Linked DNA regions of Cricetulus griseus. The protein of the gene in region 2 interacts with the protein of the main gene of each other region in a pairwise test. Links are inferred from orthologs where the notes say so. Each region holds a gene or a part of one and is shown on either strand. Other genes may lie near its edges. The genes, in order: Csn2 and Fhl2.

Evidence for each region.
Region 1: the proteins of Fhl2 (region 2) and Csn2 interact in binary tests that used the Homo sapiens proteins (3 or more experiments, as listed by UniProt). The two-hybrid records come from large-scale screens. The link is inferred for Cricetulus griseus from reciprocal best matches to the Homo sapiens genes FHL2 and CSN2.

Annotation. Positions count from the first base shown.
Region 1 is NW_023276807.1:152,937,084-152,941,007, reverse strand, and holds the start of Csn2 (beta-casein), read left to right. Parts: upstream 1-998; coding exon 999-1,070; intron 1,071-1,762; coding exon 1,763-1,786; intron 1,787-2,941; coding exon 2,942-2,965; intron 2,966-3,049; coding exon 3,050-3,091; intron 3,092-3,924. UniProt on the Homo sapiens protein: Important role in determination of the surface properties of the casein micelles.
Region 2 is NW_023276807.1:5,374,316-5,378,139, reverse strand, and holds the end of Fhl2 (four and a half LIM domains protein 2), read right to left. Parts: intron 757-3,824; coding exon 605-756; 3' UTR 180-604; downstream 1-179. UniProt on the Homo sapiens protein: May function as a molecular transmitter linking various signaling pathways to transcriptional regulation. Negatively regulates the transcriptional repressor E4F1 and may function in cell growth.

The DNA.
Region 1 (3,924 bases), about 150 Mb from region 2:
AGAGACTAAGGATTGACTTCTTTAATAAGCTATCTTATTTGATTTGCTGTTCTTTAGTAATAAAATGTACTCAAATTATATCATGGAAAGATTGATATTTCTTGGGCAACAATTAGAAGCAACAAATTACATGTTTTGTACACAAGAAGATTACAACCGTAAAACTTGTCCAGAGTCTTGGAATTCTTGATCTAGCTCATAATGTTTTACATGTGAGATATTAACAATTGTAAAAATAGAGACAAAGTCTTCTGTTTGTAAAATAATTGTAGGAAGATTAGATATTACTTTGAAACCATGATTATGGAAATAAGATGAGTTGAAAGAAAAGTGGCTTATAGTGTGCCAGGTAAAAACAAAGTTCCAGTTTAAAGATGGATACATAAAATGGTAAGGATAAAATATAAGAATTGCAGTGGGATTCTCCCTACATGCATAATCTACAAGGGTACAAATTTCTTTTAAACTAAGACAATTAAATTATATGGAAACCCATGGAGGAGTCTTTAGACAAGGAAAGGTTCTTAATGAATTATGCAGCATCCATCCAAAAAACCCAAACCAGCTTTTTACTAATGGAATAATTTTCCACCGTCAAGTATTGGAAAGAATGCTTTGTAAACATATCTAAATTTTTATTTTTCATGCTGAGATCACTCACCAGCAACACAACAGTTTATGCACAGTCTATTATTTCACTCTAGAAGTGAGGCTCCCTAGTGCTGATGTCTTCATAATCTGGAAATGCTGAATAGTTTTTTCATTAAAAGGGTTCCATAGTCATGACTTCTTCATAGTTTTGTAAGGCGCCCATACTCCCATTAACAATAGAGTGCTAACAAAGAAGAAAGGAAGAGAGCTGTGAGCAGAAAATACTGCTGGTAGCTGCTGAAGTCTGAATTTGATGTTAGACATAGGATATTTAGGAGCCAGAGTAGATTTTAATTGACTCATCCCTTACAACTCGTTCATCTTTTCATTCACAGGACCTGACAGCCATGAAGGTCTTCATACTTTCCTGCCTTGTGGCACTTGCTCTTGCTAGTGAGGTGGGTAAAGAAGCTTCCTATGTAATTAAGATGTAGTGAACGGTCCTCTCACTTGTAGACAGTAACAGTAGTGATGGCTCAGTGTGTAATTAATGGAGAGCTTCAGATCTGTTTATTTAATCAATGCTTCTTTGAGAGTCACAAAGTTTTGTTGTCCCAAAGTTCCTATAGGCTCTCAAAACTGGAACAAATGCTTATTGTGTTATTGGACCACCAGTTCCAAATGAAAAGTAAAACAGACAAGAAGTAAAACAAGAAAATAGAAATACATCAAGTAAATATAACTCCACAGAAGTAGACTCACACACGTGGCTTCAGTATCTCATTCTGGTGATAAAGTGCATGCATTTCTTTGATAATCAGGTCAAGTCTTACTGTGTCTGCCCAAAGGGAAATTCAGAGGAAGGAACATATTCAAGAATTGTGGTAGACTTGTAGGCATAATAAAAAAATGCCTAGTAGAAATTAAAGTAACTTCTTTTTTCCTCACTCATCAAAAATTCCCCAAGTTCATCCAATGTAGGAATGTGCCAATAAAAATTATTAAATTATTAGAGAGAGTAAATGTGTTTTCAAGATTCTAAAAGGCTTATAACTTTTTTGGTTTTTAAGTTTCTGAAAGAGGTAGATGACATAAAAATGAAATAGGAAGGATATTTAGTAGCAAGGTAGATTTTGTCACTAATAAGTACTTTTATTTCTTTTTACAAAAGGAATCACTCAGCATATCCTCTGAGGTAAGAGGTTTTATTGAGAAAAAATTTTAATCCTAAAATAACTATATTTTTAATGATCTGGAAGTCCTAATTGGATCTATAAATTAACACATTTGTATTACTAATGTTTTTGCATACTGAGAGCATTTCCAGCAGTGAGGGAAAGCAATTCTGTCTCAGAGGCAACTTGTAGACTTAGAACACCAAAGTGCTTCTTTTCTGTTGAGTTACATTGTGTTAGCCACACTATAACATATTCCTGTTTGGTAAATATGCTGTGCATTGTATTGGGAAGAAAAATATCTAGATAGCTGCATAATTAGAATTTTCCAAGTTAGTTTCTTATTTGAAATTTTTAACTGCCTCTTCTACACCTTTTTATTTGAGAAGCTCACAATCGTATTCTCTGCCAAGAGCTCTCCCTAATTTGACATGCATTTTTATTATTACTATGTGCTTTTTATGGATTGCTCATTGGCTAGTAGCTACAGTCCAAACTAAAGACAGATACCAATAGAAATACATACATGTGCTATACTGGGTAGGCCTGTTTGCAAAAGGATGCATTTGGTTATTAAAGTTGTCATTAGGTAAATAAAAAAGTAAGATGCAATATAGTCCTAAATGTACCTGAGTGTATCAAATAGATACACTCAGTCTTTACCTTGAACTATTTATTTGTATGTGTTATCATTTGTTTATTAGTGAATACAATTATATACATTTCTTTTCAGAATTCTACAAATGCTCAGAGGAAGTGTTTGTTTCTCATAGTTTATTTGGAGGCTAGTATATTAGCAAGTACTATAATAAGTACTCTTAGCTGTCATTAGACTGTATTTTCAACTCTGTTTCTGTGTTTGGTTTTAAGAATTAAATGGGATTTAAAGATCATTTGTAGCCAGAGAAAGAACTATGGTTGTAAAGGGAATTAACATTGCTTAGATGTCTCTTTATATACTGTGCTCACTCATTCACTTTTCTCTCTTGATGACACTCATCTTTCTTGTATACAATAGGCTTATACAAAATGTTTTAGATAGTTTAAATATAAGATTTCATCAATTTTCCTATTAGTAACCTATTAAAATAGCTTACCAGATACCTTAATTTTAATACCCATTGAAAATACTATTTACTCAGTAAAAATTAATTATTTTTTTTATTTTTCTGAAGGAATCTTCTGAAAGCATCAGTAAGGTAAACCCATTATATTTAATATCCATGATTTATTCATGAAGATAAAAGTTTTGAGATTTTTAATGTACACTTTGTTTCTAACAGAAACTTCAGATGGTTGGACAAATGGAACAGCTGCAAGCAAGGGTAAATTGCTCTTGAAGAGTTTATGTCTTGGTTTTGTGATGTGTAATGAATGCCAGAAAATAATTATAGCATGTATGTTCATAGCAAACAGTGGTCATATACCACCAGTGCTATGAAAGCATACTCAAGTGTCAATGTATTTTCTAAATCATGATTGCAGTTACTAGTGGTATTATCTGTTCTTAATAATTAACATAAGCATTTCCCCAGTAGAAACAATGTCCTTTTTATTTTCTAAATGAATATGATGATGAAAGGACACATTGAGAATGTGGCAGAAATCCTATACTGAACACCTGCCAGAAGAATAATATTGCTTATTAGTCTCTTTATAGTTCATTTTCTTCACCTGTAAGCTGAACACAATCTTAATTTTTTTCCATGAATGCAATTAATTGGCCTTTAGTAGAGTTAATGGTTTTAATTCACATTTGGTTTATGAAAACATTTGTACTTTATGTTTACCTAGTCTTAAGGGCATTTCTAGTTCAAAGATAAGTGGAGTGAGATATGGAACAACTGATTGGACCACTGCTTAAGCTGTATAGTAGAAGAGGTTGCCTTCAAATCAATGCTTTTCTGAATAGTGTCAAGTTCCACTATTAAATCACACTTACATAATAGTTGAACTTTGATAGTTTGTTTTCCTCAGTAAATTGCTTGTTGCTCACATTTTTCAAGTCAAATTAAAATTTTAAAAATTGATACATCTTGAAAAGTTTAAGAAAACTATTTTTTCAAAGAGAAACCTTTCTATAAGTTGACCAATATTAAGTGGCTGGCAGAATTTAGCACAGATTAAGGCTGATTTTTCCTTAAAACCAAATAAAATA
Region 2 (3,824 bases):
GTATGGTACTACCAGAAGGCTTTCTTAAAACAAAGTGTGGTGGAATTTTGATGAATACTGCCCCAGCCCAACCTGCACTCCCCCCCATCGGGACCTACTGCAGGCAGTGGTCACTGGCCCTCTCAGTAAAGTGCTATTTAAAGGGAGACCCCAGCATTTAATCATTATTTCACACACCGTGCTTGGCCAAAGGTTTTATTCTGAATAACTTTATTCTAAGTCACATAAATGTTACTCTGGGTTTTTACACAAAAAGGAAGTTACAAAGCTGCAAACCCCATCCCTCCCTTGAAAACACATTCATAACAAATGTTAATTGCACTTAAAATTAAATAGGCAGTGAAAGGGATGCATTATAGAGACACAGGGGAGGATGCCTTTGTTTGATCTGCCTTGCATTTCTACAAAATCCCAAGTCATCTCCCCATCCAAGGTTAACAGGACTGAAGCAGTGCAGAGAACTAAAAGATTTCAATTAACGTGAAGCTGGGACAGCAAGAGGAAACCTCGTGGTGGCTGGTGGGAACCAGAACACAGCACTGCCTGGTTAAGAAAGAAAATATCCAAATCTCTACGTCACAAAGTTGTGGCTTCCGAGCTGCCTTCAGATGTCCTTCCCACAGTCGGGGCAGAGGATGTCATCTCTCTCTGTGAGGAAGCCTCGCCCCACCAGGGACAGGGAGCACTTCTTACAGTTAAAGCAGTCGTTGTGCCACTGACGTTCCTCGAAAGAGATGTACTTCGTGCCCCCGAGACCTGTGAACAAAAGGAAAACACAGGATGAGGTGTCTCCAGGTGACCAACCTCAGCAGAGCCCGAAAAGACATGACAGTTTGATCCGCTTCAACTTGGTGCCCACTGTGAAGCACATGTGGCCATCAGACGAGAGACGGAGAGCAGGGAATTCACATGCAATCATCAACTCTGCACAGCTCAGGGTCATCCGAAGAACGGGCACAGAAACTGGTTCCAGCAAGGGAGCGATAACACCCTATAAAAAAGTGCCTGTTTGAGCTAGGTGTGTCGCTCAGTGGAAGAGCGCTTGCACACGGAGCGTGGGGTCCTGGCTTCCAACCCCCACGGGAAGAAAAGTGTCTGCGGTTTCCTGTTTCCTTGTGAAATGAAACCTGCTCCCCACGAGGAAAGGGAGCTGGGTGCCATAGCAAAGGGAGTAGATGGAGGGAGGGAGACAAAGGGAGGTGTGATCACCCTGGGAATGTCGAGGAAAGGACCAGCCTGCAGAGGGGTGATCCTGGGACCAGCCCTAGAAGCAGGAGCTGAGGTGAGAGATGGGGCTTGGTGAGTCGGGGTACAGTACAATGAAAGAAGAATGGGTCACAGGTTGGAGCTGACCCTGAAAGTGTCAAGGACTGAACAAAACCGCAGTTTTATCTTTTTCACAGTGCTGAAGGCAGGCCCCCAGCCAGGCATGCTATGGAAGCATTTGAGCACTGAGCTACACAGCCCTGTTCCAGTATTGGTAAACAAGCAAACTAACTAGTTTCACCTCTGTCCTTCTGATGACTCATGTCTGACTAGTCCCCATGAGATGTTTAAGGTACACAGTATACTGATTGCAACAACAAGTGGTCTATTTGGCCACTGGCCACCCTGAAACAAAGAAGGATGCAATACACAGAATTATGCCACACTGGCCATGTGTTCTGGTGAAATTTAGATGATGAATTTCAGTCCTCAAGATTCTGGTGTAAGCCAGGTGGTGGTGGCACACGCCTTTAAATACTAGCACTCGGGAGGCAGAGACAGGTGGATCTTTGTGAGATTGAGGCCAGCCTGGTCTACAGAGCGAGTTCTAGGACCGTCTCCAAAGCCACAGGGAAACCCTGTCCCAAAAAAACAAAAAAACAAAAAGAGTCGGGTGTGATAAACCATACTATAACAACTATAACCATAGCCACACTCACACCAATTCCCAGACTTATATGAACTCTGACTCACCAGTTAATTCCTATTATACCCTTTCCACACTGGGAAACTATCAAGTTTTTCCTCTTTGGCAAGCCATGGCAAGGCTAGGTCTTAGCTCTGGTCTCTAATGAAGTAAGTGCCTGTGTCCTTCCAAAGACCACTTCTGCTCCTGACAGAGGGATGCACAAGCAAAGCTCATCAGCCCTCTTTCCCTAAACAACTTGTAGCATTAAAACAAAACAAACAAAACAAAACCAAGCAAATTCCTGGAGCTGAGGCTCTAACTCAGTGGCACAGTGCTTGTTTACTTAGCATGTATGATGCCCTGGGTTCGATCTACAGAACCACAAAGGGGAACAAAACAAGCAAAACTGAGTATCTAGTTTCCATATAAATTGCCTTTTGTATTCCTAAAACCAGAGCCTGGTCCCTGGCCCTGGGAAGAACCCAATCTGGGCTTTGGTCTTGACACTATAATTTTTCTGCCTGCCTTAGTCACTTAGGAAGTTCTGGAAAGTTCCCAGGGCTGCAGAAGGGAGATGATGGTTTCTCTTCTTAGCATATGGATCTGAGTGAGCTGCAAAGGCAAGATGGTTTTTATTTTTATTTTTGAGGTTTTTATTTTAATTTTCATATGCATGTCTGCCCGAACATATATTTGTGTACCATGTTTGTGCAAATGGCCAGAAGAGGGTGTCAGACACCCCCCCCCCCCGAACTGGAATTGCAGACTGTTGTGCACCACCATGTGGGTGCTGGGACTTGAACACAAGTCCTCTGGAAGAGCATCCAGTGCTCTTAACCACTCATTTACGCTCCAGCCTCCTTCCAAGAAGCTTTTAGGACCCCTGCCATGCCATACTCCTTTACACCCTTGAGTTCTACAGCAGAGAGCTGCAGCAAAGATGAGCACTGGTGGGGTGGGCAGGGGGCATCTGTGTGAGGAAAGATGTGAGAACACCATGGAGGACAGGAGTCCCAGGTTGAGCACATCCCCTGAGGCTCTATTTTAGCCCTGAAGTGCCAGCATATGGAACAAGATGTAGAAATGGGAACTGAGCAGAACACAGGGAAAACTCCTAAAGGCGGTGTGTGTTTGTGTGTCTGTGTGTGTCTGTGTGTGCATATTATGAATATATATTATGTAATCAATCCTGATTTTTTCATGGTGGTTATACCCCATAATGCCCTTAACAAGACTGAATTAACAAATACTAAACTACCGCTTCTAAGAAAGACACAGTAGGTTTCTAAACTCCTCTGTGAAATTTCAATGGACCGACTCAAAGATGTTCCTCTCTGTGTGCCTCCCTTTCGAATAGAAGACACTTTGACATAATTTATAATCATTGACATTAGCACTGTGGTCCACTTAAAATGCTTGAATGGACCTTTAAGGTATTTCCTCTGATAAGGCACGTCATCTTTTTACATTTGGGGGCACTACATGGAAATGCTCCACCCCCCAGTCACAAAAATGTAGGAAAAAAAAAAAACAACACATGTCATTGTTATTGGATGTATCTTCAAAACTACACATGTTTAAGAAGGGAGCTGGTGCTGGGCATTGGTGGCGCACGCCTTTTATCCCAGCACTCAGGAGGCAGAGGCAGGCGGATCTCTGTGAGTTCGAGACCAGCCTGGTCTACAAGAGCAAGTGCCAGGATAGCCTCCAAAGCTACACAGAGAAACCCTGTCTTGAAAAAGCTGGAACACAAAGGCAGGGCTTCATTTGTCTAGTGTCAACCAGAAACACAGATGACTGAGAACTCAAAACTACTACTGCTCTGTACACAGCTGTGGGTCACTAAAAGTACCAGGGGTATTGTTTTAAGATTGCAAATCATTTTTAAAGACTAGACACGCTTGCAAATCTGTGTGGGTAAAATAATATG